Anolis sagrei: one gene and its partner. The main gene of each other region encodes a partner of the protein of the gene in region 2 in a complex. Links are inferred from orthologs where the notes say so. Each region holds a gene or a part of one and is shown on either strand. Other genes may lie near its edges. The genes, in order: DOK7 and MUSK.

The links.
Region 1: the proteins of MUSK (region 2) and DOK7 are in contact, whole or in part, in a crystal structure (PDB 3ML4), measured with the Mus musculus proteins. The link is inferred for Anolis sagrei from reciprocal best matches to the Homo sapiens genes MUSK and DOK7. Residues at the interface, in NP_035074.2 of Mus musculus: Leu547, His548, Pro549, Asn550, Pro551, Met552, Tyr553, Gln554, Arg555; in NP_001335203.1 of Mus musculus: Leu154, Ser155, Asp156, Leu157, Arg158, Arg159, Tyr160, Gly161, Gly172, Thr173, Arg174, Ser193, Asp197, Val200, Arg201.

What each region holds. Positions count from the first base shown.
Region 1 is NC_090025.1:105,334,363-105,342,412, reverse strand, and holds the start of DOK7 (protein Dok-7), read right to left. Parts: upstream 5,762-8,050; 5' UTR 5,657-5,761; coding exon 5,600-5,656; intron 5,585-5,599; exon of another isoform or gene 5,486-5,584; coding exon 5,440-5,485; exon of another isoform or gene 5,405-5,439; intron 1-5,404. UniProt on the Homo sapiens protein: Probable muscle-intrinsic activator of MUSK that plays an essential role in neuromuscular synaptogenesis. Acts in aneural activation of MUSK and subsequent acetylcholine receptor (AchR) clustering in myotubes. Induces autophosphorylation of MUSK.
Region 2 is NC_090022.1:205,876,714-205,884,763, forward strand, and holds the start of MUSK (muscle, skeletal receptor tyrosine-protein kinase), read right to left. Parts: upstream 4,005-8,050; 5' UTR 3,788-4,004; coding exon 3,709-3,787; intron 1-3,708.

The DNA of each region.
Region 1 (8,050 bases), on a different chromosome or scaffold from region 2:
TACCTGTTCGACTTAAAAACAACCTACAGAACTCATCTTGTTCTTTATTTGGAGACTGCCTGTACTTATTCTGAGAAACACTATTTTTCTTCAGAGAAAGAGGAGGGAGACCATCTGATGTCTTTTTTCCACTGTTGACATTTCAAAGAACTGGTCCTCCTTTCACATACTCACTTACAGTGCAAAGCACTCTAGTGAACACTGAATTTTAATACTTTAAATGTATAGGTCATCTCACTACAAAATTGCTATTAAAGAAGTTTCCAATTGAAGTAATTCCCCCCCCCCACCCAGTTTTTGAGATAAAAGACATTTTGGATATTATTGATAAAATGTCAAAAGAAAGATTTACCCCAAAACAAGATGTGGCACTACCAGGATGACAAAAGTTGTCTCCATCTCGCACCCTGATCCAAAAGAAGATTGTCATTCATCTTTAAATTTCTTCTTCTAAATAATAATGAAAATAATTAAGAGTACTACTCTTCTTCAAAAGAAAACAGGATGGCTTCCAATACAAATCTGCATCTTCACATTCCACTAAATGAGATCAAACAGATGCCACAATATCAGATAAGATGGTTCTCTTCACCTCATCCCTTGAATTATTCTTTAAAGAGGCTCAAAAAGGTGTTTGATTGGCTTCATTGTGAGTTTTGTTCTTCTTGCAATTCTTGGATAAACAAGTACAATTTTTACAAAATTTAAAACTCTCAAGACAACCAGAGATATTTTCCCTTTCTATAGGTGTCCTGAAATATGAATAACCTTTTTTGAAGCATGAATTTCAGCTTTCTATAGGTAAATTTTAAAACATGCCCATAAAAGCACCATAAAAGATGTCTCTGAACTATTTAAATAAATTTACAACAGTCTAGTTGAGATAAATAGTACAAAAGAATACTTCCATCTTTCTTGTATCTACATGCATGTTATTTAAAAGTACAATTTAGTAAAAATCAAGCACATGTTAACACTCCATTTCGAAGATTAATGTAACCTTCAACTCAAACAATGATTTTGACAAAGCAATTGTAACCCTTATCTTATCGGAGAGCTGTAATAGGAAAGCCTTTGGGCTTTCTGCAATCCAACAGGGCAGAAGAAAGAGAAAAATTCGGTTTCTACATCCTTTTATCCTATTATTTGGTTGTTTGCCTCCTTTTCTTTAAAGCTAATTCCTTCCTATTGAAACCAAATGGAAAGATATGTATCTGCAAGAGCTGTAGGAGCCAGCTACTGTGGGAGGACAGGGGGAGGCTGGAAGAGCTGTTGTCCTTTTTAGTCTCCAGTGTCTCTGAGTTTCCAGTTCTCCAAGTCTCCCCAATTTTAGTTATCACAGTAAGGGGTGTATGTTTTCATAGAAAGTTGGAAAGCAGAATTTGATGTGAAGTATTTTTCTCAGATATACAATATGAGACTTCATACCAAAGGACAGAGGACTGTAGCACTGTATAATAGAATATAACCTTGTTTTGTACTCGTCCCCCCCCCCCCGATGTATGTATTATTTCTGAACTGCTGAACTGTGTTGAACTATATGGATCAGTGTTGATGTGACAAATGTTACATATGATTTCAAGGAGTGTGACCACATGCTGACATAGCTAAGAACCCTAGAAAACACCCAGGTCTTGATTGGCAGCCAAAAGGACCCAGCACTTTCAAAGAGAGGAAGGAAGAGACTGAGATTGTATGAGGTAAAAAGGATACCCACCACTCATCACAGAGACAGAAATTAGCTGCCAAATTACAAGGGAGAAGGAGAGGAAACAATCTTTACCATGCTAGCGAGGGCAAAAATAAGAGACATTTGCTGTTTAAATACAGGGACAAATGGAGATTATCACGTATCCTAACAGAACAAATTTAAAAATCAACAGGTTAAAGCAGAATCAGCCAGGGCTTCTTAAAGCGTTTTCCACTTGTGACCCCTTTCTGCTCAAATAATTTTACCCTAGGGTATATAGGTATATAAATAGGTTAAAAATCAAACATTTACTGGTAATAAATCAGTATTTGAAAGGCTTGCTAAACAGGCTGATTTTCCCCTTTTACAAAGTAGAGCTGAAGTATCTTCTGCAGTCCACTGCAACTACTGCATATTGTTGTTAGCAGATTTGTGTAAATATCTAAAACACTAGGCAGCATTCAGAAACCATTTACTGTTGCCAGTGTTGTTGTGATCCCCATTTAAGGTCAGGACACACAGTTTAAGATGTGGTGAACTAGATCACTATGTTTTAAACCGTGGGCCCTGGCCACAAATGGGATCCCCTTGGATCAGTGTAGGTACCCCCCCCCCCCCCCCCCAAAAAAAAATAAATTGGCAACAGGAAAAGTTTTCTGAAGGTCACTTAGTAGCTGTTGCAGACATTTACATGAATCTGTTGTGCTGTGTTTACAGTGGACTCTGCAGAAAGTGTTTCTGCTGTGCTTCAAATGGCCCTTCCACAAGCCATAAAACCCAGAATATCAAGGTAGATAATCCACAATATCTACTTTGAACTGGGTTATCTGAGTCCATGCTGCTATATAATCCAGTTCCATGTGGATTTTATACAGCTGTATGGATCATTTATACAGCTGTGTGGGTCATAAAGAGGAAAACCAGCCTGTTTAGCAAGCCTTACATATGCTGATCAGTTATCTGTAAATAACAGATTTTTTCATACCTATTTTACCAATACATAGACAGTCTCCAAGTTACAAACAAGATAGGTTCTGTAGGTTTGGTCGTAAATTGAATTTGTATGTAAGTCAGCACAGGTACATTTTTAAAGTGTAACTCCAGCCATTCATACACACATACACATATGCACTTTAGATATCATAGGGAAAGGTTAACACCCCTGTGTTGTTGCTCTAGCTATCTGTGGGCCCTTCCAGACAGGCCCTATATCTCAGGATCTCATCCCAGGTTATCTGATTTAAACAGGATTATATGAGCCCCTCTGCAATATAAAGTGAGGGCCTTCCACAAAGCCCTATATCCCAGAATATCAAGGCAGAAAATCTCACATTATCTGAGTGTGGACTCAGGTAACCCAGTTCAAAGCAGATAATGTGGGGTTTTCTGCCTTGATATTCTGGGATATAGGGCTGTGTGGAAGGGTCCTGGGATAAACAGAAAACCTGGGATCAGATCCTGAGATATAGGACCTGTCTGAAAGGGCCTTGTGCTTCTGTTCAGAAGATTTCACCTCACTTTCTTTCCCCTTGATAATTAGAAAAATGTGGCTTGTGGAAACAATATTTGGTGAGAAAGCTTTGGTAGAGACACCTTTTCCCCATGATAACTCATTCAGGAGCGAATTTCCATTCCTAAAGAGAGATTTCTTTCATTTCCTGTTGTCTCAGCCCTTCGGAGTTGGGAGTGCTTGTAGACTACTGGTTCCTAACCTGTGGTCTGTGGACCACCAGTGGTCTGCAAGAACAAAAATATGGTCTGCAGCTTCACCATTACTACATCGTTGCCTCGGAACAACACAGGAACTAGAGCAACTGGTCTCGTGGAACCTTCTTGTAGTGCCGAGGCAAAGGGGATGTCAGGAAGGGAGTGGCTGACTACTCATGAAAGATTTCTGCTACCACACCAGTTCTAGATTATTGAATATGGTTTTCTGTGGGTGAGCAGATGGCATATATTCTGCATCAGAAACTAGAGCTGGTGTGGTCTATCCAATGCAATTTTCTGAATCAGCACCCCAAATAACAAAACTGAATCTAGTTAAAGAAAAACTGATTCGTAACCCTTTTGGCAGTAATGTTGGAGAATAGTCCCTGGTCAAAAAAGGGTTGGGTCTACTACTGTAGACCTATACAAATGTAAACTTGTCCTGTGCCAAAAGAGGTTGTGGGTGGAAAATGTTAAAGTTCTGAAGGTCCTTCCACACAGACATATAACCCAGGGCAAAGCAAATAATGTGGGATTTTATTCAGCTGTGTGGAATGGTTAGACCTAGCTGCAAGAGGTAGAAAGGCCCAATTGAGGACCCTTCCACATGGCCATATAACCCATGGCCCTTCAACGCAGTCCTATATCCCAGAATATAATGACAGAAAATCCCACAATATCTTCTTTGAATTGGGTTATCTGAGTCTAGTCATGTTTCTCAACCTGGGGGTTGAGACCCCGGGGGGGGGGGGGGGGTTGCAAGGAGGTGTCAGAGGGGTCACCAAAGACCATCAGAAAACACAATATTAGTCATGGGGGTTCTGTGTGGTAAGTTTGACCCAATTCTATCACTGGTGGTGGGGTTCAGGATGTGCTTTGAGTGTAGGAGAACTATAAATCCCAGTAACTACAACTCCCAAATGTCAAGGTCTATTTTCCCCAAACACCACCAGTATTCACATTTGGGCATGTTGAGGATTCATACCAAGTTTGGTCCAGATCCATCATTGTTTGTGTCCACAGTGCTCTCTGGATGTAGATGAACTATAACTCCAAAACACAAGGTCAATGCCTACCAAACCCTTCCAGTATTTTCTTTTGGTCAGGGGAGTTCTGTGTGCCAAGTCTGGTTCAATACAATCGTTGGTGGAGTTCAGAATGCCCTTCAATTGTAGGTGAATTATAAATTCCAGCAACTACAACTCCCAAATGACAAAATCAATCCTCCCCAACCCCACAAATATTCAGATTTGGACGTATCGGGTATTTGTGCCAAATTTGGTTCAGGGAATGAAAATACATCCTGCATACCAGATTTTTACATTATGATTCATAACAGTAGCAAAACTGCAGTTATGAAGTAGCAATGAAAATAATTTTATGGTTGGGGGCCACCACAACACCAGGAACTGTATTAAGGGGTCGTGGTATTAAGAAGGTTGAGAAACACTGGTCTAGTCAGATAATGTGGAATTTTCTGCCTTGATATTCTGGGATATAGGGCTGTGTGGAAGGGCCCCCAGAATATCAAGGCAGAAAATCCACAATATCTGCTTTGAACTGGATTATCTGAGTCCACACTGCCATATAACCCAGTTCAAAGGGAATAGTGTACAGCTGTGTGGAAGGGCCCTCAGAAGCACTTGCTTGGCCTCTAAACCCAAGACTTGAGCATCCGGGACCCGTGCGTCCCAATGCTGCTTCTGCCCCAAGCAGAGCCGGTGGGCCCCTCCTCCTTCCCCAATAGCAGCGCGGCCCCTCCCCTCCCCTCCACCCTTCAATGCCCTCCTTCTAAATTTAGCCCTGATTCCCCGCCTGCGGGCCAGGCTCATAAAACTGAAGAGGGGGCGAGAAACCGGCGCGAGACCGGCAAGGGCAAGGCAAGGGCTGGGGAAGGGTCTCCTCCCTCAGCTTTCCTCGTGACCCGGAGGAAGGCTGAGGGAGGCGCTCCTTTCCCCACAGAGGCGCCAGGGGCCTATCTGCCTCCTCCAAGAGAACCCCCCCCCTTCCTTCCTCGCTTTCCCCTCACGCGCCGGACTCACCAGCGACCGGCGAAGGCTTGCGCAGCACCGCCCACCGCGTCTTCCACTGTGGAGAAAGAGAGAGAGAGAGGCATTGGAGGGGGTAAAGGGAAAGTGAGGGAGGGAGAGAGGGAGAAAAGACCCTCCTGCCCCGTCCCCGGGAAAGGTGGGTGCCGCGGACCTTTTTTCCATCTCTCCACTTGAGCTGGCCCTCCACCACTACCGCGGAATCCGTCATCTTCAGTCATGATTTCCGACAGCTGCGGCTGGCGCGGCGGCGGCAGGGTCACTTTCAAAATAACTTTATTGGGTCACTGCTGGCCGAGTGGGCGTGGCCCCGAGGAGTAGGGGGCGGGGCCAGACCCCTCCCTTCCCTTGCAGGACCCTGAGCGCTCAGTCCTGCCTGAAAGGTGGCCGCGGCTGTTCCCTTCCTCTTCTTGTCTCTCACTCTGGGCCGGGTGGAGGCTTCTTTCTAGAGCAGTGTTTCTCAACCTGGAGGTCGGGACCCCTGAGGGGGTCACCAGTGGGTTTCAGAGGGGTCACCAAAGTCCATCAGAAAACACATACTTCTGATGGTCATAGGAACCCTTTTGTTAGAGAAGGCTAAAGATCTCTCCGTCTGTCCTTCTCTTCCTTTTTGGTGTTGGTGAACTACAGCTCCCAGAATTCAAAAATAGCCTCCCCAACCCAGGCATGTGGCCGGGGGCTTCAGCCTCCCCCCCCCCCCCCGAAATTCTCATGGTGGTTCGCGAAAAGGCCTTACTGGTGCATTATGTTATGTTTATTCATATCATGATCTGATCACCATACTCCATCTGAAGATTCCATCTGAACACAAGGAAGAACTTCCTAACTGTGAGAGCCGTTCAGCAGTGGAACTCTCTGCCCCGGAGTGTGGTGGAGGCTCCTTCTTTGGAAGCTTTTAAACAGAGGCTGGATGGCCATCTGTCAGGGGTGCTTTGAATGCAACATTCCTGCTTCTTGGCAGGGGGTTGGACTGGATGGCCCATGAGGTCTCTTCCAACTCTTTGATTCTATGATTCTATGATACTCAATATATCCCATATGCATGGAGGTATTGGGGTAATGATACAAAATGTTTGCTAGGGTAGACCCTCTTTCACTCAGACTTAGCCCCCCCCCCCCCCCCAATCAAAATCCTGACTACGGGCCTGCCCAGTGGCTGTCAAGCAGCAGATACTGTGAATTTTGGAACTGGTTTGAGGCCACCTTCCATTATAATGTGATTACCTTCCTGGCCTCAAACCTCCTCCAAATATGTCTAACCATCTGCACTGCAAAACTAATTTTTCCCAAACTGGTTCCAAATCAACCCAAATGGTCAGTGAAGATGTGCCCTTTCCTGGCTACGGGCCTGCCCTAACCCCACCAGCAGGCCCGTAGCCAGGATTTCGTTTCGGGGGGGGGGGGGCTGAATTTTTTTCAGGGGGGGTTTTGGGGGGGCTGAGTTTTGGGGGAGCTGAGTCTGAGTGAAAGAGGGTCTAGCCTAGCAAACCTTTTGTATCATTACCCCAATACCCCCATGCATATGGGATATATTGAGTATGGTGATCAGATCATGATATGAATAAACATAATAGTTTAAATAATGCACCAATAAGGCCTTTTCGCGAACCACCATGAAAATTTCGGGGGGGGGGTGAAGCCCCCCGAGCCCCCCCCCCCCTGGCTACATGCCTGCCCACCAGTATTCAATGCTGGCCATGTAGGTAGTGTGCTAAGTTTGGTGCAGATCCATTGTGGGCTGGGTTCAGAGTGCTCTTTGATTGTAGGTGAACTATAAATCCCAGCGAGTACAACTCCCAAATGTCAAGGTCTCTATTCCCCAAACTCCACCAGTGTTCTGATTTGGGAATATTGAGTATTCATGCCAAATTTGGTCCAGTTCCATCACTGTTTGTGTCCACAGTGCACTCTGGATGTAAATGAACTACAACTCCAAAACTCAAGGTCAATGCCCACCAAACCCTTCCAGTATTTTCTGTTGGTCGTGGAAGTTCAGTGTGCCAAGATTGGTTTAATTCCATCACTGGTGAAGTTCAGAATGCTTTTTGATTGTAGGTGAACTATAAATTCCAGCAACTACAACTCCCAAATGACAAAATCAATCCCCCCCCCCCAACCCCACTAGGATTCAAATGTGGGCGTATCGGGTATTTGTTCCAGATTTGGTCCAGTGAATGAAAATTCATCCCGCATATTGGATATTTACATTATGATTCATAACGGTAGTGAAACGACAGTTACGAAGTGTTGTTGTTGTTCATTCGTTCAGTCGTCTCCGACTCTTCGTGACCTCATGGACCAGCCCACGCCAGAGCTCCCTGTCGGCCGTCACCACCCCCAGCTCCCTCAAGGTCAGTCCAGTCACTTCAAGGATGCCATCCATCCATCTTGCCCTTGGTCGGCCCCTCTTCCTTTTTCCTTCCACTTTCCCCACCATAATTGTCTTCTCTAGGCTTTCCTGTCTCCTCATGATGTGGCCAAAGTATTTCAATTTTGTCTCTAGTATCTTTCCCTCCAGTGAGCAGTCTGGCTTTATTTCCTGGAGGATGGACTGGTTGGATCTTCTCGCAGTCCAAGGCACTCTCAGAACTTTCCTCCAGCACCA
Region 2 (8,050 bases):
TGGCTCTGGAAACAGGCTTTCAACAATGGCCAATGTGTAATATACTTGATTGAGGTCTTAAGGGATCAAACTCTAACTAAATCCTATTGTTTTACAAACTAAAGTAAGTACTGAGATGTTTTAAACTGTTTGAAATTAGTTGCCATTTTTTTAGTTATATGTACTATGGTTTGTGTTTGCTTTGCTTATTTTATTACTGTTGAGTTATTTTTGACAATGTATGCATTTATTATAATTTGTTTCTATTTGTTGTAAGCAGCTTCGAGTCCCTTTGGGGAGGAAACAGGATATAAATAAAGCATTCTTCTTCTTATTGTTATTTTTATTCTTATTCTTATTCTTAGGAACAGTCCAAAGCTTACTCCAAAGCTTAAAAGGAGAAAAAATTAATGTGATTGCAGTGGTAAAATAGGCAGGTAAACACATCGGGGCTTTGCTGTAGGTTTTTCTTTTCTCGACTAATACTATTGGCAAACTTCACAAATGCTGATGATCCAGTTCAGAGTGTAAACATAGCTTATTCAGAATGCACACCAGTGTTCCAAACTGTGCCATTCCATTGCAACCCAAGCTAGAAAACCTTTCCATGTATCACTGCATCTATTTTTCCCATCACTTGCTCATGTGATGGAAGGGCAAAATTCATGTATATCTTCTGGATCCCTCTCTGCATTGGCCGCTACTAAAAAAGAGTGAGGAGGATAAGAGAGACTTCCTTCTCTGATACTATTGCCATCAAAATATTGGTACCTGTTATGAATCTTATAACAGCAGCAGCCAGGAAAGTTTTTATGAGATTCTTAGATATTTCAGAATAAGAGGTTTTGACCCTGCTATATTCCTGTAGATATCATCATAAATGAGATGGTCTTCAAGGTGGTTTTGAAATGTACTACTCAGAATTAATGGAGCTATTTTCCAAAGTATTCCTTTCAGGGAAGATCATCTTGATTTACACTTCTGCATTAGGGAAGATATATGAGTGTCACCCATCGCTAGTCAAATTTGTTTCCATTTTAAATATTTCATGTAGGTGGTAGGAAGTGGGACATTTGGAAACAAGTGTCCTCTTACTCAAGTTCTGAATCTCATAACTATTGCTAAGCCAAATATATTTAAAAGAAGTATACAACACTGTCTTTTTTTCAATTAGTTGTGTCTAAACAACCTTGTGTAACACCCAGCAATTAATATGTACCTGATAATCTTTTATTTGTACAGTGAACAAATCCAGTTTGAGGATAAATATTTCTTTGCAGGATAACAAATCCTCTATGCAAAGTTGCCAAAAAAATAAGATGAATGCTATTCATTTCATTTTCATCATTACGTTGTGCATATATACAACAAAGAACGTTACGGATCAGCTTTTTATGGACCTGGAAACTAACTGAAGGCTAAAATTTTGCTTCCAGCTCATTTATCAAGCTGTTGACAGCACTGTTGGTTTGAACTGTTTACATAATCTTGATGCCAATATGTTAATGAACTTCATGCAAACACTCAGTTGGAACATTTTTCCAAATCTTCATTCCACCACATTTTTTCACATGAAAAGTCATTTATAAATATTAATCTCAACTGATAAAATGCTGTTGGGAGAACCAATGGCCCTAGCGGCGAAATTCACAAGAAATGGAGTTGCATATCTCATGGTGTAGGGAAGACTTTTAAAATGAAAAACAAACAGGAGAGTGCCTTTAGTTAAACAGGAAAAAAACCTGGGGGAGGGACTGCTTAGGATTTCCATTTCTGGGATACAGTACAACGCCTATATCCACTAGGAATATGTTCCCAGACATGGATATATGAAATAGCAGGTATTATCAAATCTTATTGAAATAAACAATTCCTGGCCCAAGAATACACTCATGTTGCAGTGGAGGACCTAGAAAATGCCTCAAGAAAACATATTTGGTTGCATAAATATACAGTAGAGTCTCGCTTATCCAGCATAAACGGGCCAGCAGAAAGTTGGATAAGTGAAAATGTTGGATAATAAGGAGAGATTAAGGAAAAGCCTATTAAACGTCAAATTATATTATGATTTTACAAATTAAGCACCAAAACATGTTTTACAACAAATCGACAGAAAAGCAGTTCAATACACAGTAAGGTTATGTAGTAATTACCGTATTTACAAATTTAACATCAAAATATCACAATGTACTGAAACACCTGTGGATCCAGGCGGGAGGCAGACTGCGTTGGATAATACAGAATGTTGGATGAGCGAAGGTTGGATAAGTGAGACTCTACGGTAAAGGAATCCTCAGTTTCGAAGATATGGGGATCATACTGTATATTGACTCAGAATTGTGCTTCTCTGTCTCCTTTCCAAGTTATGCTAGACCTCCATATTTCTTTTCTGTGAACAATGCGCCCAGTAGCTAGGTGGATAAATGGTTCTGTTTCCACCTGCTTGTTCTCTACCTCCAATTTCAGCCTCTCAAGGGTGCCCTTGTATTTTTGAAAAGCAATGTCGGAGGAAAATTCAAAGAGCTCCCCAAAATGTATAACTTTGCCTCTAGAATTAATAATCATCTAAAAATGCTTGGCTCAAGTTGGATATTATCCTATACAGATATATTTAGATATGCTTAAATTGAAGATTCATTACTGTATCTAAGAAAAATAAATATCATTATAATATTATGTATGCATAGATTTATAATATTAGTACAGATCTCATTGGAGTTAACAGGACTATGTCTTTAATTTTTCACAAAACTGTAATAAACAATTGTATCTGTATAATCATATATAGATACATGGAAATAACTATATAAGGATAAATGAAACTGCATTTCCTCTTGTGTGTATTTGCTTATTGATAACCTCTGATCCATTTCAGTATTATTATCTAACTTTTCCACATGAACATTCCCAAGTAAAATACATACTGATGTATTTTGTCTCAAAATAAACACTTGTACTTTCTCTCAAATGTATTTCGAACTGTTTTCAGAGTTGAAATGGCATCAAAGCATTTTGAAATCACTGAGGATGCTGTACTAATTTACCTGGAAGAAAATCTCAGTGAAATCAATGGAATTTACTTTTGAGACTACATATAGATTTATATTGGAAAGCAGTGCCCCTATGCACATGTATCCGAGAATAAGCTGTATTGACATAGTGGGATCTGCTTCTGAATAAATCTCCATAACATTTCACCAAAAGTTCTCATTTTCCCATTAATTCCCCCCCCCCCCCTATATATATAGCTTGCACAGGAACTAAAAAATATCAAAGTTTGCCTGCATCCTTCTATCTATCTAGAATAACTTTAAACACTTATTTCATGCAGCTTTCTCAAAACTATATTTACTTGGAGGTCCTATGATGTCCAGTGAGATTTATTCCCAGTTAACCATCCATGCTAAAATACATTCAACTATGAATTCATGAAAACAGTTTCAGTCTTATCACTTGTGCTTGACTTGGTACTTAAGATAAACAGTCTTACCACACAAACACAGCAGAGCACTGCTTTCCAATGGAGATTTGTAAATCTGAAAAGGGGATGGTTCTTCCATACTTTCCTTTCAAAGGCAGTCACAGATGCAACTGCATGGGGGAAATGAGCTCATTCATACAGATCTACGTGGCTTATATATTTATCCCACTTGCCTGGCTTGCCCCAGGTTATAGAGAAAATATGTTATGAGTGGCAAAGCTAAGAAGATGTTCATTATTCACACCAACCTTTTGGGAGTCTTTCAGCCAAGCTGAAGGCCGCCAGAGTAAAGATATGTACAAGTGGAATGTTGAGCGAGTCTTTCATGGTTAATCCAAGGAAGGGGGAAAATGGGATCCGTCTTCTTTAGTCAAAGACAGGCATATTCCTTCGCGGCTGCTCAATTTGAAAGCATGGTTCATTGCAACGTTCCTCTCCGCCACTGACTCTGTGGGTTCTAAGTATAATCAGGAATTCTCAGACTTGGTAGCTGTGATGGACACAGCCAGCTGGTGTGCTTCCACTTCGGGCAGTATCAACATGTGAGGGCTCATGAAACAAGAGAACGCAAATCCCTTCAGAATTCCTTTTAAGCAAACAGTTGAGCAGCACAATGCCTCAATGCCTTTCTAAAATAATAGCATGGCACAGGCCAACAGAAGCTGTTAGGCTGCCATCTCAGCCAAGGGTGAAAAATGCTCAGAGTTTTTCTTTAGTGCTGCATGTTTTACGAAACTCCTCATGCGCTAGATTAGACCAAAGGTCTATTTAATTAGGCAAAGAAATTGTGTGGCCTTCCAAATGGTGCTGAAGTTTAGTTTCCATCATTCCCCACTACTTGCTTTGTTAACTAGGGTTGATGGTAGCTGTAACCCTGCAATGTTTAGAGGAGTACAGTTTCCACTCCTAATTTAATCTAGCATCATGGGAAGTACCCAAGAAGGCAAAAGCCTTCCTATGTAGATATGAAGCAGCACACAGCTTATTCATCAGTCCCAGTATTGCTAATTCTGATTGATTCCCAATGCTTTTCTTTCAGTAGTTGGCCATGGCCATGGGCAAAGGTATTTTTGAGATGTCCTAATAGAGATGCAGGTTCGAATTCGGGGAGCGTTGTGAGCTACCACTGTTAGCCCCAGCTTCTGCCAACCTAGCAGTTCGAAAACATGCAAATATGAGTATATCAATAGATATCACTCCAGCAGGAGGGTAACGACGCTCCATGCAGTCATGCCGGCCACATGACCTTGGAGCGGTCTACGGACAACCCCGGCTCTTTGGCTTAGAAATTGATATGAGCATCACCCTCCAGAGTCGGGCATGACTGGACTTAATGCCAGGGGAAAACCTTTACCATTTCCTTTTAATAGAGATGCTTTCATCTCCCAATCCTAGTTTCAAGGAATTAGCATAGCACATCCACCAGCATTGGCACTAAACCAACAATTCACTACTATTGTTTATCTCCAGGATTTAGAAATAGGAGATGATTTTCCACATATTGATTTTCCACATGCACCACCACTGATACTAAACCCACAGCTCTCCATTATTATTTATCCCTAGAATCTAGAGATGGGGAAGGTATGAACTTCAAGAAGTTGTTTGGCCACATTTTCCACCAACTCCAGCCATGATAGCCATTGGTGAACGATCTTCAGTCTTCCCACTCAGCAACATCTAAAGTATCGCCTGATCCCTTATCAAGAACACAAAGATTTCATCTAGTTATCATTGATAACTTTTTTCTTTCTTACGACCTTATCACAAAAGTCCAGGTGAAGTGTCCCGCTTCACCTGCCTTTACAGAGGCATGAGAGGATGAACAGGGTGAATATGTGTGAAGTTTCACCCTTCTGTAATAGGTTTCCTGTCCTTCAAGTGCTGTTTTCTCTGCAAATTGACCACATATGAATTTTGTGTAGATAAGAAAGTAAGTTTTGTGTAATGGCCTGAGAGTTGGACTATGATTCTGGGGACCAGGATTCAATTCTTTGCTTGACCATGGAAACCCACTGGATGGCCTTAGGTGAGTTATACACTCTCAGATCTATGACAGAGTTACCTTAAGGGTCCATATCAGTGAAGATGCTTATCATTTCAGGATACTTCTCATCAGGGTTTCCTGACACCGAAAAGGTACATTTTGACCATTTTAAAATATTTTAATATTTTTGATGCACCCAATGGTTGGAATTGTGGTAGGGATATATTTATTATTTATTATTTATTTCGAGGTTTTATATACCGACCCTCTCACCTTCAAAGAGGGATTCGGACCGGTTCACAACATGTGTTAACATACAAAGAATATACAATAACAACACAATGCCACTTCATTACACGATTAAAATATCAGCACCATACACATTAAAACATTATCATCACAGTTAAAAGAGCCAAATCGTCCAACACCATCACAATCCCATTCATCATCCTCCTTTCATGTGGGCAAAGAATTAAATCAGTTGTCAAATGCCGCGTTCCACAACCAGGTCTTTGTTAGTTTCCTGAACGTCATGAGGGAGGGGGCAGTTCTGATCTCTAATGGCAGGGAGTTCCAAAGTCGAGGGGCCACCATCGAGAAGGCCCTGTCCCTCGTATAGGTATGCTACTCACATAGAGCCAACATGTCACCATTGTGCAATGGATTTGTTTTGCTCATAGCAGTGGATGCATAATTGTGCCAACATGTTCATCTCTGCCGCATCCTTGCAGTTGCATACCTTCTGTTGTTGTGCATGCTATATTTTGCATGAAGATTTTGCATGGCAATTGCTTAATTTATATTTTGCAATGCAGTTGTGCAAAATGTATCGTGCTTTTCACAATGACACCTTGCCAACATGTGCTGCACAATGTTACTATTCTGTATGTGCATTGTGTGGTGCTTATATTTATTTTATGCTAAGGGAATGTTGGATTGAGGCGGATATTTGTTCAGAAAACTCACATTGTCTTTCACACTCAATTTCATAACCTTTACACAAGAGGCCACTAAGGTGGCATCACACATATATACCCCTTTTGACTTGACAAGGAAGCATCCCAATCTTTTTCTTTGGCCCTAAAATCTCTGCAAATTGGGATGATACTGTCCTGAAAACTGCTTAGATGTGTGGTCATGCTCCTTTTTTGAAGGGAACTCTTTGTAGCCCACTAAGAAACTAATTCGCTTTTCGGATAATGTCTCAAATGCAGCTGTTAGTCCCAACTAAAACAAATTCATTAAATCAATGGACTTTATGTAAGCATTAACTTAACAAATTCCTGGTTATTTAATGACCCTATTCTATCAGTGAGTAATAGCTGGATTTAGGCCATTGTCTAACTGTATAGTCATTTTCTGCCCTTAAAATTGAAATAGTGGGCAGAAGAAAATTATATTTTAATGATTTTCTAGTACGTGTTAATGCAGGTTTTAACAGTATAAAAATCTGTAAGAAAGGAAAATTATTTACAAAATATAAAGTTATTATGGGTTTAACCCCCAAGCCATTGAGACATACTGTATATGGAAATCAGATAAACAAATAGCATATAGAAATGTCATAGAATAAATTAATACTTACAGATATTTAGGGATTTTGTTCTCTGAAATGCTTTCTAGGAAACCTCATGTAAGATTATTTCAAGCAGTTCTAGAATTTCAACAGAGAGAAGGAAGGAATTTGGTTCCCCCTGGTGACAAACGCTGAGGACAAAGTTGAGGGCTTGAGTGCTTTTATACAAAGCAAAATTTTGGTGAATCCATAATACCTAAAAAAATGAAACAGGCTCTAACTTCTACCTGTTATTTGTGCTTCTGTATTAAGGGCAGAAAGAAGGTGAAAAGCGCAAAAGCCGGATTGCAGCTAAACGTCAAAAAAACCAAGATTATGGCAACAAGAATGATTGACAACTGGAAAATAGAGGGAGAAACCGTGGAGGCCGTGACAGACTTTGTATTTCTAGGTGCAAAGATTACTGCAGATGCAGACTGTGGCCAGGAAATCAGAAGACGCTTACTTCTTGGGAGGAAAGCAATGTCCAATCTCAATAAAATAATAAAGAGTAGAGACATCAGACTGGCAACAAAGATCCGCCTAGTCAAAGCCATGGTATTCCCTGTAGTAACCTACGGATGTGAGAGCTGGACCTTAGGGAAGATTGAGCGAAGGAGGATCGATGCTTTTGAGCTGTGGTGTTGGAGGAAAGTTCTGAGAGTGCCTTGGACTGCGAGAAGATCCAACCAGTCCGTCCTCCAGGAAATAAAGCCCGACTGCTCACTGGAGGGAAAGATACTAGAGACAAAGTTGAAGTACTTTGGTCACATCATGAGACAGGAAAGCCTAGAGAAGACAATTATGCTGGGGAAAGTGGAAGGCAAAAGGAAAAGGGGCCGACCAAGGGCAAGATGGATGGATGGCATCCTTGAAGTGACTGGACTGACCTTGAGGGAGCTGGGGGTGGTAACGGCCGACAGGGAGCTCTGGCGTGGGCTGGTCCATGAGGTCACGAAGAGTCGGAGACGACTGAACGAATGAACAACAACATTAAGGGCAGAAGTAGGCTTGATTTCCTTCCCAACCAGGATCAAAATTCATTCAT